3 linked regions of the Lepisosteus oculatus genome follow. The protein of the gene in region 3 interacts with the protein of the main gene of each other region in a pairwise test. Links are inferred from orthologs where the notes say so. Each region holds a gene or a part of one and is shown on either strand. Other genes may lie near its edges.

The links.
Region 1: the proteins of glrx3 (region 3) and ca9 interact in binary tests that used the Homo sapiens proteins (3 or more experiments, as listed by UniProt). The two-hybrid records come from large-scale screens. The link is inferred for Lepisosteus oculatus from reciprocal best matches to the Homo sapiens genes GLRX3 and CA9.
Region 2: the proteins of glrx3 (region 3) and map3k3 interact in a two-hybrid assay, tested with the Homo sapiens proteins (2 studies listed by BioGRID and IntAct). The link is inferred for Lepisosteus oculatus from reciprocal best matches to the Homo sapiens genes GLRX3 and MAP3K3.

The regions. Positions count from the first base shown.
Region 1 is NC_090698.1:46,945,375-46,955,699, forward strand, and holds the start of ca9 (carbonic anhydrase 14), read right to left. Parts: upstream 5,054-10,325; 5' UTR 4,685-5,053; coding exon 4,558-4,684; intron 1-4,557. UniProt on the Homo sapiens protein: Catalyzes the interconversion between carbon dioxide and water and the dissociated ions of carbonic acid (i.e. bicarbonate and hydrogen ions).
Region 2 is NC_090723.1:1,796,937-1,807,558, reverse strand, and holds the start of map3k3 (mitogen-activated protein kinase kinase kinase 3), read left to right. Parts: upstream 1-5,569; 5' UTR 5,570-7,510; intron 7,511-10,622. Other genes in the region: translational activator of cytochrome c oxidase 1, read left to right, coding at 504-795, 1,326-1,432, 2,151-2,284, 2,675-2,852, 3,663-3,872. UniProt on the Homo sapiens protein: Component of a protein kinase signal transduction cascade. Mediates activation of the NF-kappa-B, AP1 and DDIT3 transcriptional regulators.
Region 3 is NC_090699.1:25,571,024-25,581,529, reverse strand, and holds the start of glrx3 (glutaredoxin 3), read left to right. Parts: upstream 1-6,212; 5' UTR 6,213-6,255; coding exon 6,256-6,320; intron 6,321-7,622; coding exon 7,623-7,731; intron 7,732-10,506. Other genes in the region: uncharacterized protein C10orf143 homolog, read right to left, coding at 53-82, 2,939-3,001, 3,944-4,123, 4,875-4,958. UniProt on the Homo sapiens protein: Together with BOLA2, acts as a cytosolic iron-sulfur (Fe-S) cluster assembly factor that facilitates [2Fe-2S] cluster insertion into a subset of cytosolic proteins.

The DNA of each region.
Region 1 (10,325 bases), on a different chromosome or scaffold from region 3:
CATGAAGACTAGAGAGAGAGAGATTTACTCTCTGTTGAGCTGGTATGGGTTTTGTGTATTTCAGAATAGCATAAACTAGTACACATGAAGAAAGTGTGTGGAATTGTTGCTACCAGCAATAGAAGTTGTTATGCCCCTATTCTCAGACAGCTTTATCTAGCATACTGCAATATATAAGGAGTGTGTGAGGGAGTGAAACCAGCACTCTCAGCTGTCATGCCTCTCTTCTCTAGTGTTCTGTTTCGCAGACAACAGGAAAGCTGGCACTACAACTGTTTTATTTCTACATTGCACCCTCCTCCTCACAAGGTGGGGGTGGAAAACTCTTTAGACCATTAACTACACTAACAGTGATGAATGATGGATATTGTTTTTTATTTCCTTGGTCTTGATGACTTTAAAAAGCTACAGTACCACTGAAAAAACTGTTTGAAATTTAACATTGAGTTATATCAAGTTAGGAACTCTCAAATATCTTTATTAATTAAGAGTCATTATCTTTATGGTTAACATTACAAGTTAAAAGGATAATGAGTAATGCTTTGTGTTTTTTACTTTGCAGTAGAATGGTTAGTACAAGCAAATTTGTTAAGTAAAGAACACCCTAATTATGCTCTACATTATCCTCAGAGATGTTGAGTTGCTCTGGATAAAATCAGTAACTATTTTATTTTAAATACAATTCTTTTGGTAGAAATAATAATGGTGAATGGACATATTAAACTCACCTTAAAATTGTATTCATTTTCCAAACAAAATAAAGCAAACTAAGTTGTGAAGATGCTTTTAAGTAATAGTTTTATTAGAGAGGGACACAGTTTGCACAAATTAGGTTGTATTAAAACAAAATGTCTAGATTCTTTGTTGAATCCCACTATGTTTTGCTGAGCACATTACAACACCAAATTAAAAAGCTGATGATTGATAGCAAGAAATTTGATGTGGTGATTCAACAAAGAATCCAGCCAAAAATTATTAAAATTGACCTTGAGTCCAACAAAGGATTTAAATAAAAGCCAATGGAGAAAATGTGTCTTTGGAGATTAGAAAACAGGTAAAAAGTGTTTTTTTTTTCAAGAAAAGAGCTGACCTATACATTTAAATATTTACAGTACGAGTCAAAATACTAATGAGTTAAGGAAATGTCCTATCTACATCCGTTGTAGTTGCACACTTAACTGACGCAATATATAAAAAGACGCATGATTACTAAATACTGTCAGTAAATTATTGTCGTTAATTGTAAAAGTATCAACTTTTCCAAATTGTGAAACACAATTGGTGATTTCTTACAGTGATGAAAATTTTAAATGTGATCCGAACAACTTTTATAGACCTACTGTGGACTAACATATTAGTCAGCCTCATCTCCTTTTTTATTGTTTTTGAAAACTACCTAAATAAACAATTTTTCTGTAAATGTATGCTGTAACTGTAAGAGCACATTGTAGAAAAGAAAACCACACAAAAAAAATTATAGGAACAGGAATATACACTCACGTTCAAATACAAAAATGCTTTTCTTTAAGCAGCTCTTACCCATTACAAGCTGAGTTTTCAGCGTTTATGTATTGTAGGTGTGTTTAATTTAATACAGACATTTTTTACAGTAGCTAAAGAATACTGTGCATGAAATCAAAAGTATTTTTGAAATATTCTGCAGTCACAAATAAGTGACTGGAAAAAAATGAATTTTTATGTTATACATAACCTTAAAATTATTGCAAAATCTTTTTTTATCAGGACCCTTCAGCAGTCCATCCCCAGCTGATTAGAAAGAAAATCCAATTACATTTCCCCAGATACTATTACTCAATGACTTTTAATAACTTAAACCTTATGTCCAACACATATTTTATTCATTTGTTGCATTCACTGTTTGCATTTATAATTTCCCAAACACTTTACAGTTTACTTTACATTACTTTACATTACATATATGTCACAAAATTCACCAAAAAAAGTAATTTTAAATACACAGACCACATCTTAGTATTTCACTGAAATTCATCAGCATTTGAAAACAGTGTGAATGGGACTTGATATTTTACAGGTGTTGGCAATCTCATACTCTCTCAAATCCAGGGACAGTATGTAGTCAGTAGTCTTGTCACAGATATGTCTATTTCTGGCTTCATAAAAGTAGATCAGGAGTCAGCAACCATAGTTTTGGAAAGCATAGTGTTACCTGTTTTTTGTTCCAGGTGAGCTCTGAAACACTTAATTAGATCAGTCAGTTGCCTAATTAGGAGGAATAAACATGTTTTTCAGATCTTTCCTTCTTGACTTACTGAGGCTGCCTATAAAACCTGCAGGTCTGTGGGTGTCCAGCACCAGAGCTGCAGGACATTTATCAAGGACGAAAGTGTTGGTCAATAAGATACAATGAATTGTACTGTTGTGTTTTGTGATTAAAGTTGCTTTCTAGCCATGAATCAAACAATCCTATTATTTTGTTATATAATCGCGTGTATTCTCAAATGCCATGTGCAATATACTGTAGTTGTGTGCCAATAAACCAAGGGTCAGGTTTATTAAGCATTCAGGTTTGTGGTGTTTATGGCATTTGTGAGTATTAGCCATATTTAGTTATCGGCTGAGCAGCTTCGATTGAAGCCAGAATTCTATTTCACAAGCAACTCACTAAGGAGAACATCTGAGAACCAAAGAAGTCCTTGTTCTTTGTTAATGTAACAGTCAGAGAACAATGGAAGTATAAAGCACTCTCTCCATCTCTTTTGGCTGACATCCAGATTTGCTCAGTAATGCATTCAGGTTGACCCTATTCGCTTTCCACATCATGAGGTTTCGTCCACCGTCCAGCTCCTGGGTGAATCATGCCTAAAGCTCGTGTTCTAATTGTTGATGAAAATGACATCTGGAAAACTGAGTTTATATATCCAGTGTCTAACAACTCCTGTGTGTGCAGACAAAAAAAAACAGAATCCAAAATAACAAATCCACTGGTAGCTGAATAAATATAGTAGGTAGATATGACTATTTTATCTGTTTTCATTTGTTTGAAAATAGTTCCGGTTTGTTTAGTCTGAATGACCCCTCATTTAAAGAGAATTTGCATAGAATACACATATGTTAATTTCTGTCAAAAATAGAATATTTTGGTTTAAATTTGTTAAACAATGTAGTCCACAGCATTAATATTCTCTTAAAAACTTTTTTTTAGAAAACCCAGCTGGTGTGTTTATTTCTGGTTGTCTTTTGTTGTCTTTTCTAAGGACACTAACAAATAGGGTGCATTTTAGAAATTCAAGATTTTTGTTTCAAAATTTAAAACTTTAAAGCATTTTCTATCTTTGTATAGCTTGCTAAATTCGTAAACGAAACAAAAACTCTTCATGCTGGTGTTGTGTTTCCAAGGAAGAGAGATTCTTATTTTCTATTTTCCTTCTCTGTAATTTCACAGCTGGCACAGTATTCATGATGAAATACAGTGATGTAGTGTAATATCCCTTTGATTCATGTCAAAACTCACTGAACTGCACGTAGACACTGGCTCCTCACTGAAAACCACTGTTAGCCGTTAAACTGTAGGCATGAATCAGCAATGAAACGCATCTGAACTATGTTAGAAATTCCAGCATACTAAACAGAATGCAAGTGCTTTCGGCACTTGGACTCACTTAGACTTGGTTATTTTTTTATATTAATGCAAAAATAATTTTAAATTAAAAGTAATGATAATAAAATTAATGTTAAGATATGTGTTCTGGACATGTTTTGTTTTACTTGTAGTTAAAATAAATTGTGCTTTTGCTCTATTTGCTCTCACTGTTAAGAGAGGTATCTTAAGAGTAATTCCCTTCACAGTGTGCCAGGACAGTGATGATAATCCAGAATTGTAAATAGGACTGGACTGCACACCTCTTCAAGGTAACAGTTTAAATTCACTTAAATCATAATTAGTTTACTTATAAATGCCTTTCATCAGAAGTTTGTAATTAAATAGTTTACACTAACTTATTACATATTTCTATCAGGAAAGGTAAAATTTAGGCAGGGGTCACTAGCTTTATTTACTAAATACCTTTCTTTTCTAGGTTGCATGTTAACTGATCCACACCAGTAAGTGGCAGTTTAAGACAACCTAGTCAAAGATTTTTTCTTCACAGCTGACAAGAAATCCTTATTGTTTCTGATTTTATTAAAATTGTATTATATTCTTTGGTTGTCTATTTAAAGTACTCTGACAGTGGTTTATAAAATAGTTTTAGTATTCATCTGACTAAAATTATATATAAAAGACAAATTGTGATACAAAATAAAGTGTAATTCTGAATGTTTGTGAGGAAACAAAATCAAACCTTGCCATCAAATATCAGAAAAATCAGGGACAAAATAATTATTTGGAGATGCCTTTTGTGAAGATGTTTTAAATTCAATATTTAAGTAAACTGTCTTAAACATTAGCTCTGTCTTTACAAAAAATACATTTCGACAAACACTCCGAAAAAAAGTATTTATCAAATGACACTGTTGCTGTGCTTCTGAAGGAGAAAAAAGAAGAATTGAAAACGAGGAATCAAATGGTCAGCTTACCTTTATGGTGCTCCTTACTTTCTTTTTCAACACTGCTGTCTTCTTCTGATGATGAAGTTGATGACACTACTATAGTCAGGAAAAGAAGAGTTTGTAGGATAAAGACTAGGAAAACTTTACCTAGCATCTTAATTACTACCTCTTGGAATAGCCCTCTAAGTCCAGCAGGAGTCTTCAATCAGTGCCTGCAAAACTCCACTCCTATGTACAGAGTTATAAAGCCTTGCAGCAATGAGTCAGTAACAAATCACCCTTGTGTAATTTAAAGGCTGCAAACAGGTAAATGACACTGCTGTCACCAATCACAAACAGGCAACCTCTGAAGGTGCCCACAATGTCTTGTGTTTAAAAAGGCTAACTGCAGTCTAATCTAATCCTGTTGTCTAGTAGAGCTACACTTGCTCTTTAAGTTTTTTCTTCATTCAGAACAAAGTCCGGTGCTCTGTGTAGTGTGAAGGGGTGTGATTTGTTTAAAGGTTTTAAAGATTTCTGAGTATCACTGAACCTCAAACATGTCATTAAATCTCCCAGTATGCACTACTGTCCAGATTCTAGAATTTCAAAGAAGAAGGAAAAGATGCATTCTGTAGAAGCTATGTCCGTCCTACAATTTTTGAGTTAATCGTTTATGTTTGTTTTAGCTTTAACTCCCGCAGGTATTTTTTTATTACAGAGAAAAAAAATGTTTTGTTTTCATTGAAGAGATCTTGTCTAGCATCTTCATTAAATAGAGTTAAATACAGGTCCACATGATTAAAGCAGCTTTGCTACAGCAATATTTTATATACTGTATATACCCATCTAACATTTTCACATTTAAATTTCACAATAAAAAGTGCCTTCATAGTCCCTCTCACAATTTTCCTCACAATATCTGAGAAAGATTAGAAAAATAAAAAAAAAACATTCAAATTAGAATGGGTTATCAGCACATTGAAAAGCTGGGTATATCATTTGTTGTAACTAAGGCTGAGGAAATGTGTAACTCTGCTGATATACTGTGGTGTATCAATTGATCTCTTATGAATATCAAAAGTGTGCATGAATTGTTCTGTGTGTAAAAGTATAATTCAAAGATGACTTTGTGGGATCAAAGACTCCTGCTGCATTTCTATCTTGAGTCAATCACTCTGTGTAATTCACATATACATTTGCAAGTCATACAATGAATTGATTCACAGTAATGCACAGCTCCACATTTTAATGTCTTTTTTTAATTCTAAGCACTTACTGTATTTAATTACTCAATGTATTGATTTTTAAAGATAACATTAATATCAAGAGCAAAACCCAAGGCATTTCACCATTTACAGTATGTTTGTAAAATTGACACATGCTCTAAAGCTGAGATTTAAAATCCCCATAAAGAAAGTATGAAATTGCAGTTGTAAGCTAGGAGGAGCTTATCAAATGAGAAGTGGACCTAACAGGGGGAGTGTTCCCTTAGGTCTTCACCCTCCTTGTGTGACACAGGAGATTGCAGCTGGAAAGTTTTAAAACTGGATGGATATAAAGTCCGGGAGTGGAGCAAGTGGCAATTTCATTGTTATTTTTGTAAAAAGGTACACCATAATATTTAATTGGGAAAATGATACAGCCACAGATTCCTGACATTGTTTTACACTGGTCTTGAGGCTCATAAGCATGGTTGACCACAGGGTGAAGAAAGATATAAGATGTGAAAAAGGGGTTAGCTGATTTCTTTCTGCACAAAGACTTTTTGTGACACAAGACATTCCAGGCTTAAGCACCTTTGAGTTATGGCTGGGAGGGGAGTTAACTGATAAGAGATTCTAAGTGCAAGATAGAGACCCCCTAACTAAGGAAAGATAAAAACCTGCTATTCAAAGTGGTCAAGGTCTTGGGAATGTCCAAACAAAGGTGACCTCCCCCAATTACCATGGTAAAAATTTGCGTCATAAATGGCTAAAGTTTCCTATATAAACTGTAAGTTTTGTACCTATATTCCAAACAATACTTGGATCTTATTGTTCCTTGCATGCAATAAACTCAGTTGTTTAACCTTCATCTCGGATTCCGGAACGTATTTTTCTGTTACAACAAGAGGTATTCAGAAATGGTACAGAAGTACACATCAGGAAGCAGCTCTAGTATAGTCTTTATTATTCTTGCTTCATTTGATTTGTAATTGATTTTGTGCAATAATAAAGCATTACCAGGAAAGAGAAGGAGATTTGCAGAATCTAAACTAAAATATTCCGGATATTTCTGTGCATGTCCTTTGCGTGAGATGGTCATTTTTAAATGAATGATTTTTCTAGAATACATCCTAATATCCTAAAATTATATAAATAAATACATAATATTTTGAAATTATATAAAAGTTGCATTACATGTGGAACACCTGAAAGGTACTGTAAGGAATCTTTGAACCTGAGCATCTTGATAAAGTGACACACAAAGGCAACCATAACGTATAAAAATAGAGCTCTTTTTTAACATGTATCTCTCTGAGACTTAAGTCTCTTTCTCTTACTTCCTTGATCCCTTTTCCCTCTGATTTCTCTCACCTAAGAGGCTCTGCTTTCCTCCTAAAGAGCAGATGTCAATGACCAATGGAAGCACCTGCTTCCCGCTCTTTTACCTTTACTTGACCAATTGTCCTACTTCAATTATTTTCTTCCAAATAAGAAAATGCCCAATAGAAAATGGAGTGATTCTAACCTCATGCCAAAGATGTTAGTGATTTGGTGATAGGGAAGCCCTTGATCAGTTATCTCTAAGAGTTATCTCTTAGACGGGTATCTCTAAAAATCCCCCAAAACTCTGACATGAAGTAAATGCCGACAAAGTTTGGATATAGAAAAGTGAATAAGAGCATTACAGGCCAATCCCAAAGGAAAGTCAGTACTGTTTTGAAGATTTTCAGTTGCAGGGAATATGATCTCCACAGCATATTATGAAAATGACCTTGTTTGAGAAACTGATAGATATGGGGACTATGGTGTGCACTAATTGAATGCTGATGAAAAATATGTCATTTGTATTAATAGTAAACTATTGTGTGATCCTTTATGGTAAGTGCAAATGAATGACATTCTCACAACAGTATGGGTTAGTTAATAGAGTATTTGCAAATTGCCTTTCAGGGCTTTTTCTGTTTAGACAAATGATCAGGTCCACATGCTCAATGGATGCAGGATTCACTGCTATAAACCACCCAGACAGACTTTGTATTTTTAAATCTCTTTACTAGTTAATACGGACTCGCTGATTCATTATAATAAACATTTTTATTTTCCTTTGACTCTTCTCACTCTCTGTTGTGAGAAAGTGAATCTACAGTAGCTTAGCTCAAACACACATAACATGCAAAATGCCATTTTGAATGTGAAACCAATGCCCTCTAATGAGCGAGATGACAATTGCACTTGCAGTTTCCTTGTATTGATGATGACCAGCCTTTTGTGTAGCATTTGTCTTACATTAATTAATTTTTATAACAAAAACTGCACATTGCAAATTGTCAGTTATCCTGAAAAATAAAATGAGGAACTTATGTAGCAAATGTTCCTAAATCTGTGTTTAAGAATTGAAAACGAGGAATCAAATGGTCAGCTTACCTTTATGGTGCTCCTTACTTTCTTTTTCAACACTGCTGTCTTCTTCTGATGATGAAGTTGATGACATTACTATAGTCAGGAAAAGAAGAGTTTGTAGGATAAAGACTAGGAAAACTTTACCTAGCATCTTAATTACTACCTCTTGGAATAGCCCTCTAAGTCCAGCAGGAGTCTTCAATCAGTGCCTGCAAAACTCCACTCCTATGTACAGAGTTATAAAGCCTTGCAGAAATGAGTCAGTAACAAATCACCCTTGTGCAATTTAAAGGCTGCAAACAGGTAAATGACACTGCTGTCACCAATCACAAACAGGCAACCTCTGAAGGTGCCCACAATGTCTTGTGTTTAAAAAGGGTAACTGCAGTCTAATCTAATCCTGTTGTCTAGTAGAGCTACACTTGCTCTTTAAGTTTTTTCTTCATTCAGAACAAAGTCCGATGCTCTGAGTAGTGTGAAGGGGTGTGATTTGTTTAAAGGTTTTAAAGATTTCTGAGTTTCACTGAACCTCAAACATCTCATTAAATCACATTTAAATTTCACAAAAAAAAGTGCCTTCATAGTCCCTCTCACAATTGTCCTCACAATATCTGAGAAAGATTAGAAAAATAAATAAAACGTTCGAATTAGAATGGTTTATCAGGATATTGAAAAGCTGGGTATATCATTTGTTGTAACTAAGGCTGAGGAAATGTGTAGCTCTGCTGATATAGTGTATCAGTTAATCACTAATAAATATCAAGAGTGTGCATGAATTGTTCTGTGTGTAAAAGTATAACTCAAGATGACTTTGTGGGATCATAGACTCCTGCTGTATTCATTTCTATCTTGAGTCAATCAGTCTGTGTAATTCACATATAAATTTGCAAGTCATACAATGAATTGATTCACAGTAATGCACAGCTCCACATTTTAATGTCTTTATTTAATTCTAAGCACTTACTGTATTTACTCAATTTATTGATTTTTTAAAGATAATGTTAATATCAAGAGAAATACCCAAGGCATTTCACCATTTATGTTTGTAAAATTGACACATGCTCTAAAGCTGAGATTTAAAATCCCCATAAAGAAAGTATGATATTGCAGTTGTAAGCTAGGAGGAGCTTATCAAATGAGAAGTAGACCTAACAGGGGGAGTGTTCCCTTAGGTCTTCACCCTCCTTGTGTGACACGGGAGATTGCAGCTGGAAAGTTTAAAAACTGGATGGATATAAAGTCCGGGAGTGGAGCAAGTGACAATTTCATTGTTATTATTTGTAAAAAGGTACATCATTATATTTAACTGGGAAAATGATACAGCCACAGATTCCTGACATTGTTTTACACTGGTCTTGAGGCTCATAAGCATGGTTGACCACAGGTTGAAGAAAGATATAAGATGTGAAAAAGGGGTTAGCTGATTTCTTTCTACACAGAGATTTCTTGTGACACAAGATATTCCAGGCTTAAGCACCTTTGAGTTATGGCTGGGAGGGGAGTTAACTGATAAGAGATTCTAAGTGCAAGATAGAGACCCCCTAACTAAGGAAAGATAAAAACCTGCCATTCAAAGTGGTCAAGGTCTTGGGAATGTCCAAACACAGGTGACCTCCCCCAATTACCATGGTAAAAATTTGTGTCATAAATGGCTAAAGTTTGCTATATATACTGTAAGTTTTGTACCTATATTCCGAACAATACTTGGATCTTATTGTTCCTTGCATGCAATAAACTCAGTTGTTTAAACTTCATCTCGGGATCCAGAACGTATTTTTCTGTTACAACAAGAGGTATTCAGAAATGATATAGAAGTACACATCAGGAAGCAGCTGTAGTATAGTCTTTATTATTCTTGCTTCATTTGATTTGTAATGTGCAATAAAACATTACCAGGAAAGAGAAGGAGATTTGCAGATTCTAAAATAAAATATTCCGGATATTTCTGTGCATGTCCTTTGTGTGAGATGGTCATTTTTAAATGAATGATTTTTCTAGAATACATCCTAATATCCTAAAATTATATAAATAAATACATAATATTTTGAAATTATATAAAAGTTGCATTACATGTGGAACACCTGAAAGGTACTGTAAGGAATCTTTGAACCTGAGCATCTTGATAAAGTGACACACAAAGGCAACCATAACGTATAAAAATAGAGCTCTTTTTTAACATGTATCTCTCTGAGACTTAAGTCTCTTTCT
Region 2 (10,622 bases), on a different chromosome or scaffold from region 3:
CTTAATTTAACATGCAAAGGAAACGGCTGTATTTTCTTTGTTTTATCTGTTTACACTGATAGTTGCAGTCAAAGGCCTGATATATTTTGATTCTGAAGGTAACGAGTATTGAAAACACGTTTTCTCTCCTCTTATAGTTTGGCCAAGGGAAATATTTTGTTCGATCTCAATTATTTATTATCTACCAATAATATGCTTTTCTTGTTCCTTCGGTTCAGGGAAACAGCTGGTTCCCCTTGTGTTGCAGTTTGATCTGTGTCAGTGTACATGAGCTGCTGGATTTCTGTACTTACGCCAGTGCTATTACCTGAGGTTTTTTTTACCTTGTTAAGCCTTACTTATCTTAGAAAGATGTGTTTTCTGCTTTATTTGTGCAGCCTGCGCTAGAACGAGTCTTCAACTCATTCTCGCGCAGTGATATCCTGGCCTGTTTTTCATGCTGTGTTTGGGTTTTCACAGAGAAAGCTGCCCTCCCCTCTCCCCTCTCCCCAGTGCCAGCAGCAATGGCAGGGACAGTGCTGATGTCTCGGTCACTCTGCCTGGGTTATGGCAGAAAGCTGGCGGCTGGCGCACCGGTGGCCGCGCTGTGCTGCTGGACCGTCCGACAGCCCCGTGCTGTGCTCCCGCTGTGCCTGTCCTGGGCGACCCCACCTGGCCGCTCTGTGCACTGCAGCTCTGTCCGGTTCGCCGGACACAACAAGTGGTCCAAAGTGAAAAACATCAAGGGACCCAAAGATGCTGCCAGGAGCCGCATGTTTATGAAGTTTGCCTTGATGATTAGACTGGCTGTCAGAGGTATGTCCTTTTAGGGGAGAAAACCCCCCTTTTAATTCAAAAGTTAAACATCCTACATAAATCCAGTACTATGGTCACAGGAATTAGTTAATAAACTCTCTACTGCACAACAGAGAAAATGCTGAATTGGGGAATTTCTTCAACATTTTAACTAAGTGTGAAACATGTCAGCTCCAGCAAGGCTATAGTGGTGTTTAACCAATTCATTCACTATGGTGAGAAGTTCTCCCGTTGAATAGCACCATGGGATCTTCAGGATGTCGGTTTTAATGTCGGTGTAGAAGGACGGGACAAAGGATACTTTGTCACTGTTCTTAGAGTTTCTGATCTAGGGGAAAAACTGCCAGCTGTCGGTCCATCGGTGCTACTTTCAGCAGCAGCCTGACTTTGTTTAGAAGTCTCCTATTCAAGTACTAAACAGACCTGACCTTCTAAGGTCAGACAAGCTCAGGCATCAGAGTGGTCCAATTGGGTGTACAATCGGCATCTTGTTGTTGTTTTTTTACTCTCGATCTCACTGATCAGTGCAGAAGGAGGAGCAAACCCTGACTTCAATGCCCAGCTGGCCAACATCATTGAGCAGTGCAGGAGCAAGAACATGCCCAAAGCGTCCATCGAGGCCGCAGTCAAAGGCGCGGTGAGAAAGTCATTTTCTTACCTGGAGGACCTGGGGACCCCCTGTCCAAAGTTTGCATTTGATCGAGGTTCAAGGATCTGGAGGGATGCATTACATTAGTCAATGCTTTCTAGGCTTGCCTTGCCTCTGTCTGATGAGCACCAGTGCGCTTAGTAGCCAGGTAGACCTGGGCAACGTCTCGGACATTTTGGCTTTGCTCCCTCTGCTGTGGTTTGCAGCAGTCAACTGTGTCATTGTCCTTAACTGAAATCCTAAAAGAAATGAAAATCAACGGGTTGAATTAGAAAAGTTTTCAATGAATGCTTCGAAGTATATTGGTTTTTGAAAAGGGTTTAAAGGGTTTTGAAAAATATTTTCAGTAGAAGATTTCCAGGCTGAAACCTCATTGAAACTGAACTTAAAATTTGATAAATGCCCCAAATCCTGTCATATTAAAATGAGAAACCATGAATTAGGTACAATACAGATTACAAGAAAACACCAACCATAAAAAGGTGAAATCACAAGTATGTGTAGCTGGTAGCTTGGCTAATTTTCTGACAGTTCATCTGCAATCTTCAGATAACAACAACGAAACATAAGATTTCACATGGGCAGCAGTTTTTCCCATTTTAGGATGTAGAAGCTGCAGACTCTTACATAAGTAAACATCGGGAGCTTGACGTGTTTCAGCTAATTGTCAGCTCACTGTTTCTTTAACCGTTCTCTTTTCCCTCAGGACAAGTCCAAGGCCTCTTCGTATGCGCTTTATGAAGGCAGGGGGCCTGGCAGCTCCTCCCTGCTTATTGAAATCCTGACCGACAACAATGCACGATCCCACAGGGAGATCAAACACATCCTAGCGAAGAACGGGTATGCCCCCATTTTCCAAACATTCCAATCCCTTTTTCTTTTGTCATTTTTTTTTATATTTGGTATCGCTATTTTATATTGCCAATGTCGGCCCACCCAGTTTGGTATTGCTAATTGTTGGTGACTTGGGTCCTGGTAACCACTGCTGTAGTGCATGGGGAGAATGAGGAACTGCAGATTTGCTCCTCTTGCCCCCCACCTGTCAGACACACTGCAAACTCTGCAAACAGATTCTAATTTTTAAACTAGAGAACATTTTTGATTGGATTCTCGTTCGATTAACCAGGATAAATGGCTGCTTTAGCTTCTTACATAAGTCTGATCAAGACAGGCAGAGCTTCCGTCTGTGAGTGACCTCTGTTACTGGAGCGAAGCTTTGTCTCCCTCAAGAGGGACAATGTGTGATGGGGCGAGGTACAGTTTCCAGCGGAAGGGTGTGGTCACGGCGGCAGGGCAGGACGCAGCGGGACGAGTCGTGTCCCTGGAGAGGGCGCTGGAGCTGGCCATAGAGTCCGGAGCAGAAGACGTGAGAGAGACAGAAGATGAGGAAGAGAAGCCATTACTGCAGGTGGGAAAACCCTTCGGCTTTCTGCGACATTTAAGAATGTTTTTATTACCATCATATTTTCCTTTTTGTAAGCCCCAGTCAACCAACTCTTCCTTGCAAGCGTGGGGTTAGCTGCGGGTGTCTCCGTCACAGCAGGCCATGAGACCTCGGATGACCTGAAAACCCACCTTATTGTTCCTTTCTGTAAATAAGTCCCCATTGGTTCTGAGTGCTCATGCGAAATATCCAGTTTCCAAAGTTGGTTTAATACCTGTAGGAAGTAATAGAATTGTGCTGAAAAGACAGAAGCGAAGCTGACTTTGTGTTTGAAGACCCTGATGGCAGTGTCTCAGTGTCTAGTTTGTGCTGTTCATTTTCTTATCATTAGCGTTATCGCTTTGTCCTCCATGCCCTCGGTTCTGGGCATTTCCGTCCTCAGTCTCCCTGTGTTGTCTGGTTTTCAGACTTAAGCAAGCTCTTTCGTTGAAGTGATTTGTGAAACTGTTTTTCTGCGGCCCACCCCTGATTTCAGAAATAGCCAGCTTAAAAGTATATTGGAGCCAATAAAATTACGAAACACTTTTTTGTCTTCAGATTAATACAGACATGGTCTAATTTAGCTGTCTAGACAACTTTTATATTTATCCCATTAATGATGTCCAGACATACTGTAGATATGAATCACATTGTATTTAAATTTGGGTTTACACTAGGCAAGCATCGTGCGGTTCAGAAAATTGCCTTGAGCAGCGAAGTATGCAGTTTCTTGCCATATCACCAAAAGAATCGGAGGACGTCTTGCTCAGTGTTCCGTCGGGTCTCTTCCCCCAGTTCATCTGCGATGTGTCCTCGCTGCGCGGTGTGAGACAGGCCCTGGATTCCCTTGGGCTGCGGACGCTGGCGGCTGGCCCAGAGTTTGTTGCCTGCAGCTTGGCACAGCTGTCCCAGGGAGAGATGGAATCTGCCTCCAGGCTCCTCGAGGTGCTCAACGAATGTCCGGACGTCATCCGTGTGTGGGACAACATCCAGGGGGAGGCCTAAGCCTGCTTCTAACCACCTGCCTCCTGTTCTGGCCCTGGGCCAGTAGGGGAAAAGAAAGCAAAGGAGAGTTAACCATGGTAACCGGCTGACCTTCCTCAGGAAACATCATCAGGGGTCAAGCCCATATTTATCAAGGGATGCCCATAGTGGAGATCAGAGGCTTATCTAACTCAGTCTAGACAGCAAGAGGGGCTGTTGGCTGTTGTGCTGTGAGAAGGACAATAGTACAAGTTCTAGTGTGATCAAGAGCAAATTCCGTGTTGAAGGCCCCCACATAAGAGCATAAAAACAAATTGAGATCATTTGGCCCATCTTGCGTATTTGTTTACTCTCATTGATCAGAAGAATCTTGTCCAGCCTGTTCTCGAAGGTTCCCGGGGAATCATGCCTTCCATAATCCAGAACACTGGATTGCAAATGTTCTGGATGACTTTTAGATTCTGTTCAGAATTTTTGGATGTTGTATTGTACCTGTTTGAAATTAAAACCATTAATTTATGAAAGATGTGTGTGTGTGTTTTTTCAGGAATCAAAAAGCAAAGTAATACCCCTCTTGGTATGAATAGATATGACCGTATTAGGAGTTTAGCACTCACATTTCAGATTTTCCCAAATAACCTCTTCTACCACAATCGTGCCTTATTCCAACATGGATCATACATCATAAAATAAATGTTATTGTGTTTCACATAAAAATGTAGAACTGAAGCTGATTTTGAGTCATTCAACTCAGAGGATGGGGGTAAAGTGGTGTTAGGTATTCCTGTTTTTAAGTGTGAATGCTACTTATATTTAGAAGACATCCATCCACTTTTAAAACTGCTTCATCCACTTCAGGGTCGTGGGGGAGCTGGAGGCTATCCTGGCAAGGCAGGGTACACCCTGGACAGGACGCCAGTCCATTACAGGACACACACTCGCACCAGGGCAGAATCTCCCCGACGCCAGTTGACCTACCAGTGTGTCTTTGGACTGTGGAAGGATGCTGGAGCACCCTGTGAAAATGCATGTTAACTAAGGGAACTAAGTTAACATGCAAACTCCACACAGAGAGCACCCCAGCTCCCAGAATTGAACCCAGGACTCCAGCACAGTGAGGCAACAGTGTGTCACTGTGCACTCAGAGCACATAAACTACCCAATTGCAATAACCTGTGTCTTTGTATTACAACACTCTTTCTTTTAAGTTTTTTTTTGTCTTCTCTGTAGAAGAAATAACATGTGGTACACAACTCTAGTTAAATCCTCAACTGCTGATAAAATGTTTGATATTGATTATATCAAAATCTGAATTGCAGATTAAAACTTAACATTTCGGCTAAGTATCATGTTTAGGTTTTACAGATATTCAAAGTCGAATATCAAATCTCTGATGCTAGTAATGACATTTTTGTAAATACATCAGCGTTTCATCTTTTTTTTTATATGAGGAGCTTCTTTTTCGTGTAAAAAAAAATCTGAAATTTGTAACATCAGCAATTGAGGATGAATATTCTGTTTGAATCATCAGTATCCAAACCGGTATCGACGGGCAACAAAGCGAAAGCGCTCCTCTTGACCACCGATGACAAGCTCATGGGGGGGGCAAACCAAATATCGCGGTATGCTGGCCCTGCACACAAAACTAGATGACGAACCAGCACAAAGTTCATGACGTATTCGGCAAGGACGTCAGCCAGTAGATGCGTGTCTGTGTTGGAACTTGTCGGGCGCTGAGCGCGTAACCTGGCTGCCGTAAGAAATCTGCGGAGGAACTGCGCGCTCCCGAGCGAGTTTGGTGCTGTTTTAGTGCTCTTCATGTGAATTGTCGGTACCCTCAACAGTTATGGGGAGCATCTTATTGACCAGAAAGCTGAATGCTGTAATTGTGCCACGTTAAGGAGCTTTAAACTACTTTAATTGAAAAACAACATAACTTTAGGTTTTTTTTTTTTTCGGAAGCTGACTGATGGGTTCCGGTGACTGAGTGCGTTTTTTTTTTTCAAGTCAGGAAATTCGCTGCAAGGAGATTAAATTTACTTTGGAGCGATGTGCATGCGGACCCGAGCTCCTTCAAACACCGTTTCGTGAGTTTTTTTTTGTAAGGTCCCTTTTTGTTTTTTCTTCTTCTTCTTCTTCTTTCGGAAAAGCGGGTGTGTCTCGACTTCAGCCGAGCTGCCCTCTCCGCGCTTGTCAAAACCAGACCGGACCGAAAAAATACAAAGTTTTTTTTTTGAGGTGGGGGGGGCAGAGATCTGGGCTGCTGTGGCGAAGGTCTTATTAAAACCATCAAAGCAGAGATGGAGAAGACATGACATGCTCCGGTGGGAGTCTTCAGCGCCAACCTGCAGCTCTTTTCTGGGGGTGGAGGAGGGACACACTTTTGTTTTTAAAGAGGGTGTCCTCGTTTGCAGCGGTTTCCCTTCGCCTTTGGGGGAGAGAGAGAGAGAGAAAAAAAATGGAGATAACTGATTTTCACAACTTCACCATAACGTCACGGGTTTGCTTGCGCCGGGCTGCTCCGTCTTGTTTTTAAAACTTGACGGGTTTGCAAAGTCTGACGGACTCGTTTTATTACTTCTCCGGAGTCCCCAGCCTCGACGCCAGATCTGATTATAGCCCCCAAACCGGGGCAGTGATTTCATGATTATCTTTCTGCTCGACCGGACAAGCAGTTTTTGTTGGGGTTTTTTTTCCTTCCGCGGTGCATGAAAATACGGATCTTCTGTTTCCCACAGATCGTTAACATCGTTTTAACTTGAATAGTTTCGATAAGTGTTCTGGTTTTCCTTCTTTTTTTTTTTTTGGTAATTATTATTTTGTGGAGGCCCTGCGCATCTATCTATCGGGACTTTTGTGGAGAACAACAACAACAACAACAAAACAATATATCCTTGCGTGATAAGAAGACGGCGGAAAAAAAGTGCGAGTTTTGCAGGAAAGGCGTGCGATCGAGAAAGCGGTTTCGTGGTGTTGTTTTTTTTTATTCTCCCTCTCGCACGGACACCAGGATTTCATAAATGCCTTGAAGTCGACTTTCTCCACCCCGGGACACCCCTTCCACCCGTTAACAACCCGTACATGTGCATTTTTTTATTGTGGACTTCAGCGACACTCTGGAAGAAAAACTCGTGTTTTGACCCGAGGCCAAGAAAAATGTTTGAACTTAATTTAGCAGCAGACATAGCCTGGCTTCGCTTTTTTCTCTCGGCATGCTTGTCAGGAAAATCCAAGACTGCATTGGACGTTTTATAGCTGTCTGGATATTTTCTTGTCAAGGGGAGGAGAAAAAAAAGCAAGCTGAAAACAACCCAGAAACGAAATAGCACAGTTTCACTTTAATTCGTTTCTCTTTTTTTTTGTTAACTTGTAAATCTCTCGACAACCCGGGACTACAAGTGCTCTGACCGACAGGACTCGAGATTTGTTTTTTTGTTTGTTTTTTTCCCAGTTTGGTTGTGTTTTGCAAGTCCCGCGACCAGTTAACGAGCCTTTCGGGATTAAAAAGCGATGTATTTCGACAGCTAGCGAGGATGCGTGACAACTGAGCCCCCTTTTTGCAAGCGACTGTCGGACTGCTCGCTTGTTCGGGAGAGTCACTTGCGGAGTGAGCTGCTGCTGTTTTGCTCGGGCAAGAGGCAAGCGTGTTACCCCAGGAGGTGAGACAGCTGTGACATTACTCACTCTTTGCATCTGTCTGAGGTGGTGCTCAGCTCGCCAAGAAGGGGTGTACTTAATGCGTTAACGTGGGTTTTGTTCCTGCTTGACCTATAGAGTTGTTTTCTGTGATACCAGCTGCTGTATGATTCCTTTAAGAGGTCTGGAGACAGTGCGTCAAATTACCAGTTACATCAACGTCTTTTCACAGTTTCAGACCGTGATTTTTCCCAAGATTTCCATTGTGCACAGCTGACCCAAAATGGCCTTTTCCTTCTATACAGTTTGGTTTTTATGACGGGGCCTTTTGGGGGGAAAACTTCCCGTTGTATTTCAGCAAGGCAAGCGTCCAGCTCTTACAAATAATTGCTTTTGTCATGCATGCGTTCTTGGGCTTTAAATTAGAGAATTTAGACAGATATAGAAAGTTGCGTAGTGCGCTATGAGCAAGGTTCCTGTGCCGGTGACCTAGAGAGCAGAGGAGCTGCAGAAAAACAACTTTCGAAAACACGTGCTCGACAGTCTTTTTGACCAGCAGTATTGTTGTGGATTTCTTCAGAGAGGCATGGAAAGAGGTGAAAGGCTTGTACACAAGGCCTTCTCAGTGGCTGGGGGGCTGTATTTTTCACAGTGCTGAGAACACATGCAGTGTGCGTCTAGTTACGTCCTAAACAGGACACAAAACTTCACTTCATTCCTTTGACTTTGGCAAGTGCCTCTGCTCCTCAGTTGTGTGGTGGGGTTCAAGGATTTAGTATGTGAGAAGGTGCGGGTTTGTGTGTCAGTTTTGTGTTTCCATTTGTAACTCAACATCTATAGAAAGCTTATTCTTCTTATCGGCCTTAAGGCACAGCAGGCCAACTCTGGTTTCTGCACCACAGTGCAGCAGGTTTTATAGGTTTCTTACATCATCAACATGTAAAGACTTCAGTTAAGAGTTAAGCAGGTCCAGTCAAGCTGCTAATTAGCCATTTACTGCAGGTGATAGAATATTTTGTATTAGATAAAGCGATTAGAAAAAGGATGGAGGAATGATGGCGATACCCTCTTTGTTTTCAAAACCACTGTATCAGTAATGGCTCAGGCCTGACTTGTAGTCCCTCAACCTACTGTGGGATCGTTTTGAAAAGCCCACAAAATTGCCAGCCACTTTTTAATCCCTTACTTGTGCGCAAGGTCACCGAGAGGGGTAGTTGTTTCCAAAATTGTATAATCCACTCCAAAACCAAGTTGCTCGGACGACTAGACATCTTTGAGGCAGGCTAATGAAGTGTAAAATTGTGATGCCCCAAGGGGCATCCGTGACAACGGATTCCGTTGTGAACATGGCTTTCATCTGTTTACCTAGAAATCAGGGACAAAATCTGGAACAGCTCCCCGCTGTGACCCTTGGCTACCAGGTGGGGAGGCTGCATTGTCTGGGCTCTGCCGGTGTGGAGGCTCAGTCGGCTTCCATTGTTCACCCTCAGTGCTGTGCTGCTACTGCAGGTTTGCGTGTCGCCATCATCGGGTGTCCTCCCGGTCCCTCGCCCCGGTCCCTCGCCCCGGGCCCTCGCCCCGGTCCCTCGCCCCTGGGCCCTCGGGTTGGATGGAGGCTGTGCATGATTTGGAGGATGTTGTCGTACCTTGCCTCCCTCCTGCGTTGTTCTGAGAATTCCCTTGGTGTGCATTATTGCTTAGACCACTGGCGATTCCAAAATCCTGGGTCACGGTGCGACGAATTCAAAGTTAAGCTCCCAGGTTTGCCCGAAGGAGAAGTCGGAGAGAGATTCCAGGAGCCCTGCGCCACAGCTGTAGTTTTTTAAGTGGATCCAGGAGCTGCCCACGCTCACAGCAGGTTGCAGTTATCCCTGCGTGAAAACAAATTGCACTAGGGCCCCGCTCCACCGAGGGGAGCGGAGGTGAAAGCAGGGATTAGTCCTTGCAGCAGGAGGAGCTGTGCATTGTGATCCAAAAAATATCATTTGTTTCCGAGGCAGAGAGACGGGGTGATTCCAGGTTCGTTGATGGTGCAAACATTTTACCACGGCCAGCTTGTCATCTGGGTTTCAGTCTCGCTGACGGTGGTTTCCTTGAGCTCAACGTTGACCCGCTAGCTAGCCGGATGAGGTATTATTTAACAGTTTTCAGATCCTGGGGATTAGAAATTGGCCTAAGCTCTGCAGCTGTTATTACCAACAGATGCGATGCTTACCGAGGGACTGATTGTTTCAGTCAATTACCCATCTGATCAGCACCGATTCGGCAACCTATTAAAAGCTGTTCATACAGCATTAGTGTAGTGATTAAGTATCAAGCAAACTGTCAACAGACTGCATTTACCGGCAACCACATATTTAAACCAGGGCTATTCGGAAGCCAAGCTCCATGTAGTTGGGAAAGTCCTCCTTAAGAAAATAATTAAATTAAATTATCAGTGCAATGCACTGGCGTCCTGTTCCCGGTTTGCTCCCAGTGCCTGCCGGGATAGACTCCGGCTCCCCCACGAACCTCAGTCAGATAAAGAGGTTAGAAAATGGATGGACTGGACGTACAGCAATGAGGACGTCGCTGTCACAGAGGAGTCGGTGCTGTTAACTGCACCTTGGAAAAGGGAAAAGCAAACTGGGCTGAAGCGGGAGATGAGTGGTGCAGGGAGGGAGACGTGTGGACAGACAGGTCACAGGAGAAAGAAGTGGGGTTTTCAGGCCTCAGGAATGGGATACGTGCAAAAACACATTGAGGTGCTTCGCTTCGTGGGGCAGATGCTTTCAACAGCAGAACAGTAAGTGCTGTGCATTCCTGAAATTCATCCAGGAAGGTTTGCTGAAAGCAGCGAAAACCGAGGAGAAAGCGCGTGACCGAGCAAGTGTTTTAGGGGCAGGGAACACTCTGAACAGGACGCCAGTCCATCGCAGAGCAGACACACTGATACTCACTGCATAGACAGTTTTACAGAAGCCATTTAACCTACCAGTATGTTTCTGAACTGTGGAAGGAAACTGGAGCACCCAGAGGAAACCGACGTGAACTGGGGGAGAACATGCAAACTCCACACAGACAGCACCCCAGGTCCGGAATTGAGGCAGCAATGCTAACTACTGTGACCCAGTCCCTACCTCTCTTGACTTCTGT
Region 3 (10,506 bases):
CATCTTTACAAAACTCATGATGCATTTCGGTATCCAGGCTGCACAGTGATTTTCAGAATCCCATGATATGGTTAATATGACCCTGAAAGAAGGAGAAAATTATCTTTACAAATTAAACAGTTTTAGTTTAAGTTTAAGTGACATACAATCCAATTTTTAACTGTTTTTATCCTCACTCAGTGAAGAAGGCTAACTGGACAACAGAATCGACCAGAAACAAACGTCTTTTTTATACCCATCATCACCTTGTAATCTGTATTTCCCATTCTATCTTACCTTAGTAAGTCCCTCTACTGTATTCCTGATGTCGTTGTGTTACACCAAATTAAAAGAAAAGATGATGGAGAAGATTTTGAACAATTCCACAACTTCATAAAACACAAAAGACAAACTTCCCCTTAGTCAGCTCATGGGATTCTAAAAGACCGCGATTAATTATACTTTCTGAAAACCACAATTACTGTATTGTTCACAGTTAAAAATGCAAAATAAAAAATGACAATTATTACAATATCTTAGTAAAAAAAACATTGAGCAAAAAATGGCACCTGTGGTTATTTTTAAAGACTTTTATAATAAAGAGCTATGTCCTCATTTAAATTATTCAATATATTGTAACTTTCATCAAAGTTAAAACTTGAATTGGGTGAAAATCACAAGGCCCTGTACACAGAATAGTCACAGATGATTTTTTCTTTTTACTTCCAGAAGTGGATGAGAATATGATAATGTTCTCAAAATTATCCTTAATCTTTGATTTTCCACCTTTTTTTCCCTTTCTGAAGCTCATCACTAGAAAGTGGCTTTTTCTTAAAAGCACAGGTCGCTGTTCTTTTAAGACTAAACAGGACTAACCAAGACTAAAGAAGACATACTGTATAAACAAAAGCTCACAAATACAGTTTACAGACCTCGGTTAACATAGCCATCATGTCTCTGGAAGGCGAGAAGAAACCAAGAAACAGAAAGAAAAAGCACACAAATTCTAGGAGGAAATGCACACTTCTAACAAAACGTGCAAATCAAAGACTGGGAAAAACCTATTGAAATTTCAGCAGCAGAAACTGAAATGGTAGACATGGTTAATGATTGCTTTCTTAGTTTGTCGAAGAACAAAAGTCAAAGTTCTGTTTTAATTAGCATCAACATAGAAGATTTTAGATATCTGTATTTCAGGTACAAGAAGCATTCAAAATTCATTAATCTCCAGGGACCAATGGCATTCTACCATTTGTATTTAAGAAAAAAGGAGATTTTATTCATAACCCATTAACTTAACTCTTCCAGCAGTTGCTCGAGACAGGGGAAGTGCTATTGGACTGGAGAATTGTTATATATTGTTAAACACTGTCTATACTTAAAAAGGGTGATAAAACTAAACCAAGAAATTACAAACAGTCTATACTGCAATGTTATGGAAACAATTATTAGTACTAAACTATAGGATGACCAATATGGAATTCTTTGAGGAACAGTATAAGAACTGAACGTAAGATAGGGTGTATTTACATTTTCAGAAGGCTTTAGATAAAGTTTAATTCTTAAAATTACAGGCGGCAAGATTTTGGAAAAATGCACGTGTTTAAAAACTGGTTAATAGAAAATTGAGTGAAGATAAGAGGTGAATGCTTCAACTGGGACGGAAGTAATTAATGGAGTACCACTAGGATCTGTACTAGGGCCACCGCTTTTCCTACTTTGAATCAATTATCAATCTGATGTATTTGTCAACAAACTTAACTGATTTACTAATCTCAAAACAACATGATTAATAACCACTAGAAGCACCAAATGAAATTCAAAAAGATGTAGCTAGAATTGCGGGCAAACAGTAGTCAGATGTTACATATTGTGTTAAATGCAGATAGTATAAACAAACTAGAAATACAAGATGCAACACTTTGAGATTTAAGAGAGTTTCAGGTTTATGTTTACATCATTTACATTTTCTAGACAACATAGGAAAGAAGTAAAAAAGCATACAAAATGATATTCAGTCAGAAACATAGAACTCAAATCAAGGGATGTTATGTTAATATTGTAAAATACAAAAGTTACTGGTACTGTGAAATCAGTCAAGAAAAGAACAAACAGATACACTCTGGCATTCAAGTGATTGTCCTAAACTGATAGGCTGAAAGAACCTAACCTTTTTAGTCTTCATCAGAGAAGAAGAAGACCTGATTCAAATGCTCAAATTCCTCAGACGCATTAATTTGAAATGGACTACTTCAGAAAGAACAGTGAATCACAAACCCGAGACCTCCTCTTACTTAAAACCTTTTTAAAATTCAGTTCTGAAAATGGAACAAACCTGCTCTTAATTTTCATTTTTGCCCTTGGTTGTTGGTTTAATTACTTGAAGCTTGAACAACCCTTACTTACTGTTACAACCTCAGGTTTTTAAATCCATAACAAATAAACTAACTTTCAGAACAGAAATTGATCTGGACCTCTTCTTCACAATATGTCTAGAATATATCTATCCTGCCTGGAGGATGAATAGCTAAACTCTACAAAATATTCCAAATGAAGTATTATTTTTTCATTAGAGTAAATTTAATTTATTTGAATATTCACTCATTTTTGGCCTTCTCAATGGATTCTCCAAGCTATATAGATTACAAGTTTGAAAACATTTACATTCGAATGCTTTTCATGGACCACTTCCTTTATTAACACTATTTTAAAATAACATACATTCTGGTTTCTTGCATTCAGGACTCTTTGAACCTGCAATACAATAATTTCCTAGGCTTTTGCCTTTTGCTAGGCAACTCAATAGTGTCTAAAAATGTTTCACTATGGGCCTAGAACGGTAGCTTGCAATGTTGACTAACTAGTAGCCTATATTATGTAAAATATGTATTAAATAAGAAGTGTTACTTCTTAAACCTTTGCAAACAGTAATTACAATACTCAGAAAAAAAATACTCACAGACTCTCCAGCCTTGCAACGCAGACAGAGCTGTACGAATCCGCCATCTTCAGATGCATACCTCTGATAAAATAACATAGAGATGAGGTATATTAAAGATATTTCCCTGGCATTTAAGAAAGCACAATATACATAATAAAACACTATATGTATGCTAACGACTAAACTAATGTTTGCAGAGTTACGGATTGTATTAATAAATTAAAACAGATAGTAACTGTGTTAATAACTAATGCCTATTTTATTGTTAAAGAACAAACATACTGGAAATACATACAACATAACAAAGGAGAAAAAAAGCTGATGAGAATAAAACACTTGAATTACAAAATAAAAAAGCAAAGGAGACATAAAAATACCATTCTTTCAAAGGACAGTCAACATAATGCCTTCAATAATACACAACATTATGGCTCTCTTTGTATAACATACAAAGCAGAAAGTAAGCTTCTCAGTTTTGAGTCTGGCATTTAGCATTAAAGTTAAAATTAAATGGGATTATATACAAGTGGATCACTTGTCACTCTTTGTTTCCTATTCCTTTCTGCAACAGATATATTAGAAGAGAAGGGAAAAGGTAACTGGGGTCAGTTTCATGTGCCTTTCATATTAGCCCATTTCATAGTGAACCCCTTGGGTCCAGCCATACAAATTCCACATATCTTTTTTGTAGAGAGGAAACTGATTTGAACACCTGATATTTCCACCAGGATAAATTGATTTTGTTTAGGGTGCACACCAGTTAGATTTGAATATAAAAAGTTAGGGGTTTGGTGTTTTTTCATGCACAAATTAGGCTTTGTCGCTCTTGCTACTTGTCACATATAGCACTTTTGAGAATTTTAAATTAAAAACGCAATGCACACATTTTCACAAGCTGCAGTGGGTGTCAGTCATAATACATGACCGAATCAATAACATTTATTCGAGGTGTTTAGGTATAAATGAGAAATAAGATGCCTGAAATATGCACGTACTGTAAAACGACGTGAAAACTTCTCCTACCATATCAGAGGTCTGGGTGGAGGTAATACAGAGGAAGGCAGTGCAGTTTGGATTCCGTGACCGAGGAAGAGACTGCTGCTGATGCATGTCCCAGGTATCCATGGGACTCTCTGTTAACTGTGTGCTCACAGCGCCATTTTCAAACTGATTACAACTTCCAGACCCACTGCAAAACCGCTTCTGGGAAAGGAGTCAAACAAAGCACGGTAACCCTTAGCAACGTGTTTGCCTTGTGTTGTTATTGGTAGCTATAAGTAACATTTCAGTTCTTACAAATGCTTCAAATAATTCAAGACACTGCCACTGTTCACTGAATGAAATAAATGTCCACTCTTCCGAAAAAAAAAGATGCACTCTTGGCATTGAAATAGAAATATGCTGTCATTGACCTAATGCTGTAACAACCCAGCCTCAGAATTAATTTATAATACAGAGCACGTTTGATGCCGGCTACTATACAAAGACGGTGTTTTGAAGGGGAAAAAAGGCTGAACAGAAAACTACAGCCTCTTTTTTAAAAGTAAAAAATGGTCTATTTTGAAGCTAAAAAACTAACTACACGCACACTTTCAACTGCTTCAAGTGTAACAGCTACAATTAACCATGATAAAACCAGTTGTGCTCACATGATATGAATGATATGATATGAAAAGGGACTAAACATTGCCAAGTTATTCTGGCAGCACCACCTTTAGCACTAAAAATAGTCAGCAGATATTTCAATGCAGTGTCTATCACAAGAGGAGGCACATAAAGGTCATACTACAGTACATATCCAGTTTGTAACTAACACATCAAGTGCTTGATTCTTCGAAGTATAAACATTGTAGCAGCCGGGCGCTACGTACTGTAAATCCACCTTACATGTACGTCACCGATTGGCTTTCCCACCGGTTGGCGAAACACGCTTATGTTGCATGTCCTGACTTACCGTCTGGTTCACATTTACATCAAGATCCTCTTCGTGGCGGCGTTTGTTCTGTGCTGGAACCATGCAATCCATCGACATTGCCATCTGATCGTACAAATCAATTATTTTCAGGCAAAGTAATAAAAGTTAAAAAGCGATCCCAAGGATAAGAGAACATAAACGATTGGATATTTTTATTTAAAAATATAAAGTAAAATAGCATATGGTTGGGATTGTACGCTAACCATTCATTTCCATCATCAGTAATGCATTTCAGGTCTATTACCCTTCACTATAGTCCATCGGATACAACCTTGAGAGTTTTCTTCAGTTATCTTTTTTTCCGCAGCGGGAAATCACGTTACACAGAGCACTTCATTAGTACAGGAAGGACAACAACCTATCAAAGGAGACGCTAACCAGAAACGTCAGGACGTGCACGCCATACTTCTGAGGGGCAAGACGCGGTGATAGTTGAGTAACTGGGACTAGAACATATTTTGTACATATTAAATATATTTACGTTTAATAAAATAGTAATAAGATTTAATAAGATATTTAATATTTTCTGTAGCAGTTCAGGCGAAATTCATTAGTTTCCAAGGGAGACTACAGTGAATAAACATGGTGAATTGAAACTCATTGCAATCCAAGTATACTATAACTTTATATACCATAATTTATAAAATACTTGTTCATAACATTAACCTGAAATATCTGCAATAAATAATTGTCTCTTTCTACTAAGTTAAAAAAGTTTCATTTTGCTCACGACCTGATGTTAATGTCTAAACATAAGTAGCTCAAAGTGTTAATTGACAGCATCATTAAGTAATTTAGAATAAGTCTAAATTAGAATAGAATATGTGATAATGAAATCATTACTGATATTTCAACTAAGTGGTCAATTAACAGTGTGATTGTAATCTAAACTATATGGTATGTAAAAACTATTTTTAAGCAAAGTTCCAGAAATATTACGGCTACCTGTTATATTTTTCAAAAGTATAATTTGATTAAAGAAGAGAATACAGTCCTTTACTGTAGGTATTTTTAAAGTAAAATGTAGTTATTGATTGGTATCTGGAACCCTAAATTTAGTAATTCAAGATTTTATCAAAAAGAGAATATGAAGCTCATAGCTTGGGCTACAAGGAAATCTAAGGGAAACAAATCGACACCTATGTAAGAAGAAATATGCACCATCTAGCCAAAAAGATACACGTTTAAAAAATATTTCGAATGTGTAACATTCTGAGAGGCTATATTAATCTTCAAGTATTGTTTTCTAATATCCCTCAATGATAGAATTGAATGTTTCCTTATCCTCGGGTGCTGTTACTAATGCCTTGTTAACTCAAACTGTAGTTCGACTCCTGTTCGATTAGTTCAGTCTGTCAGCATGGCGAATTTCGTGCAAGCCACTTCTTCGCAGCAATTTGAAGATTTGTTAAAGAATGCAGGAAAGTATGTATCCAGATTTACATGATTACCTGATATGTGTGAAAGCTGTGAAATGTCCATTCTAAAATAGCTGTAACTGACATTGTGTGATTTTAAAGTTTTGGCTTAGTAAAGCAGTGCATAGTCACAGTCTGAAGGCTACAGGAAAGTCACGGAAAAAGGCATTGTGTGTACGTGCAAAAATATATTAAAATATTCGAAAAGTATGTTAATTAAAATAACCTTAGAATCGTTATAGCACTAGCCTTTTAATTATGTTTGTGAAAGTGTTAATATAAAATAAAATATCGATCTCTTTGGATAAAATAACACAAAGGGGAACTTGCTTACAATATAAGAAAAAAGCTTGTTCTTTTGTACCAGAATAAATTATGGTGAATCGGGGCATAGTGTTTCGCCTTTGTGATATGGATTGATGATCTTAATACATTTTGCATCACAAGCAACATCTTACAGTTGTCTTGGACGAACCTACTACTTGACAGGCCTGATGCTCGGGCCGCGATTTCCCGGACTGCGACAGAAAAGCCATTGTGTTTTCTGTCTCGGGATATGTCCGTAATGTTTTAGTATTTATGGGATATACGGAGAAATAAGAATATAATTTGTTGAGAAACTGTAATTGAAAAGTAAGAGACGTTAATTCCACGCTAAAATATCCTTTTTACATAACCTCTGCTCGTTCCTGTAAAAAATGAATGTACTGTAAAATGTAATAGTTTTGTAATCAACGTTTTATTTGCATTTGCTCTGTTAAATCAAACAGAAAGGAACAGTATCTAATTTATGTATATGTTAAACTATTTTCACATTTTTTAAATTATTTTTTTTTAAATACCCATTTGTCATTTTAGGACTGCGGAGTACCTTAATCTAAAGAAAAGTGTAGAGTCTGTAACCTTCACGATAAAAACTCTTTATTTTGAGTTAAAATAGATTTATTGTATTTTTTTTGTTTTTTTTAAAGTAAAATATTTTGCATAAAGAGGCAATTTTACAATTGCTGTTGGAAAACAATATATTTAATTATACAGATTTCTGTTTGGGCTCTGCAAATTTCTGTCCTGAGGACCTGTGGGAAGATTGTTTTCACTGCATCAGTTTTACAGTAAAAAACAGTTTATGTGAGAGCTTGGGTGGGTGGTGAAAAAAGTATTTTAGGAGAGAAAGAGGTGTTGGATCCATGGGACTTGTAAGCAAACAAATCCCTCTGTAGTATAAAAAATGACAATAAACCTGTCTAAAAGATCTGAGCTTTTGTAAATGTGCATATGTATACTTTAATTTTGTTGTCTTTCCTGCCAGGTCTCTGGTGGTTATCCATTTCCTGGCATCATGGGCTCCACAGTGCACCCAAATGAATGATGTGATGGCAGAGATAGCGAAGGAGTATCCACAGGTGACATTTATAAAGGTGTGTATAGTATTGAAACCTACCATTGCCTATTTTCAGCACTCTAAATGCACACTGTTATACTGTTACAATGTATATTGATACATTAATGTATCACAGTTTATGCCTTTTGTGATATTACCATAACCGTTTTTTCTTTCAATTTTGTGTATTTGCTGTATTTGCTAACCATATCACAATAGGCCGACTTTCCATTTAATGTGTCACTCACACCAGACCCAGGCCATATGTTTTTTTCTTTTACAAGCACTTAATTTCAGGGTCTTGTCTATTTTTCACAATCCTTACAAGCTTATTTTTCAACATTTAGAATAAAATGTACGGTTTTGCATATCTACATTTCCCTGTAAATTCATTTCTCAATTCTCCATCTGATCTCTGGTGTTATGGGGATGCTGGCTCATAATGACTGCCTCCTGTCCCCTATTTAGATTTTACACTCCCTGAGCCCCACAGTGCCTTACAGGAGAGCTTGCACCAGTGGGAGGCATGATGCAGCTCACACTGGCACTACTTAGCATGCAGCAAGTATAACCTAGTTAATTAACAAAAAGCTGGGCACTGCTGCTTTGGAATACCTGTTTACAGTCAGCAAGTGACGAAGTCTATATACAAGCTGGCAATTTCTGAGCTCTGGTTTCTGTTCTGACCAAGCACCTTTACCGAGTGAGCCACTTGTGTTTCCATCTCCAAAAGCTTTTGGCTCCAGACTATGCTGGTCTTTTACATAAATAAAATGGAACTTTCATTGTGTGCCTAAACCTTATACTAAACGGACAGGTAAAGGTTTATATTCCATGCTGAAAAGAAAAGAAACAGAACGATTCGCCATGGATCCTACACCAGTGGTGAAAGTGTAAAGGAGGTTCCACAGCCAAAACGTTGTTTGTTTTCTTTTCAGCATGGGATAAGCCTTTACGTGTCCCTTTGCAGTGTGCGCATGCTGCCGCAGCTACCTACTTAAACATTATTACAGTTGGTCCAAAGTAATTTTTCCCTCTTTTTGAAAATAGATAATGTTATTTGAAACTAATGGTAAACCTATTCCTTTGCTCGTGTCGCATAGTGAAACAAAGATAAAACATTCTTGTGAGGAAGTGCTTAATGTGCACAGAAGCCGTAGATACAAGTTTAAGCAATATTATAGTGGTAGTCGCTTACTGTTTGTTAAAAATGTACTTGTTAGACTTTTATTCTTTTAAGAACCAGAAAAATATAGGGCCTCCAACGGTAGTATAACAAGGAGGGTGTTTTAGAAGAATGGAAGTCAGTGTCTTACTTGATAATGTAAGTCATACTCTTGAATTTTTTTTTTGCTACAAGTAAACTGTTTTTAGGAAGTTCAAAATTGCTTTTGGTGCTCTAATGGCTCTTGTTACTTTTCTAGGCACAAGGCTGAACCTGGCCTTTTTCAAAAGTGATCTGCCAGCAGTTCAGGATTGGTTTTTGTAATTTAAAGTGAACACAGGTCACTGATTGATTGATCTGTATTTTTTTTTCTGCAAGGTCTGCTTGATACCAGCAACCCAGCTATATAATTTTTCATTTTAATAGATTTTCTGCCCCCCAACTCTACCCTTGAATTCTTCCTGCTCTATTCAAAACTCATAAAGTCTTCTCTTTCTTTGGCCCCAGAGGACCTGGTTGCACTGGGCTACTGGCTTTCTCTGACCTTGCCTGCTAGTATGGTCTCATTATCTATTGAGTTAGGCACAAGGATAAAGACCTGTGTCTCCCCTACAGTGATCGGTACACACTGTCTTAATAATAACAGTCTTGCAAATCCTCTGATTTGAGGTGTCAGTTTCTCAGATTGTATGCACATAAATACCCTTAAGCTGTTCAGCTGAGGAAGCTCTATGCCATGTGTTTATCTTTACATTTCTGTTATTAGCAACTCATATTTTTCATTGTCATTTTTTTTTGCTTTGCATTTTTACTTCACTGCTGTCAAAACTGCAGAGAATACTTTCAAACTGTATCCTCCTTATTTGCTTTCAGTACACACCAGAACATTTAAGTTGTATCAGACACTTTAAAAAAATATTTTGGCATGCATGGTTAGGTTAACAACAACCCACTCAGTCTTTTTGTGCTGATATTTCATCTTTGCAGGAATATGCCCAACATTGATTTAGCAGCAAAAAAACTCTCAGTTACAAATTCATTCAAACTTTTCTTCTTCCTTTATATCCTTTCTGAAATTGAGTAGACCTGTACTATATTGGACTTTTAGTATCTAACATGCTTATAGAGATATGTCTTATAAAATATGCTTCAGTATAAGAGCTCACAAAAATATGTATTGGCCATCATTACATTATAGCAAAAATTCCTATTTTTGCTTTATAATCTTAGATTTCTTGTGTATGTGTGTGTCACTTATGATGTACTGGTCCATGGATTTTGTCAATAGAGCAAACAGCAAGATTTGCTAGAGGCGGAAAATAAGTGCTGTAATCATGACATAACTGGGGTCAGTGATTTATGGATTTCAATATCTGGTAGCTAAATACGATTGAAAATTTACTGGGTCAGTAGTGCATCAACATTTTCGTTCTGTGCCTGAGGGCATTTCTTGAAATGTGTAGTAAAATAAAAACCTCTGAACCCATTTTGACATTGCACTCACTGCAGGTAGGGCAAAAAATGATGCAAAACCTCATATAACCCCTGCATAAAAAAGCACATTTTCTGACTGTATATATTATATTTTGTGGAACAGTAATATGTATTTTATAAAACACCTTTCATGACAAGTAATCACAAAGCACT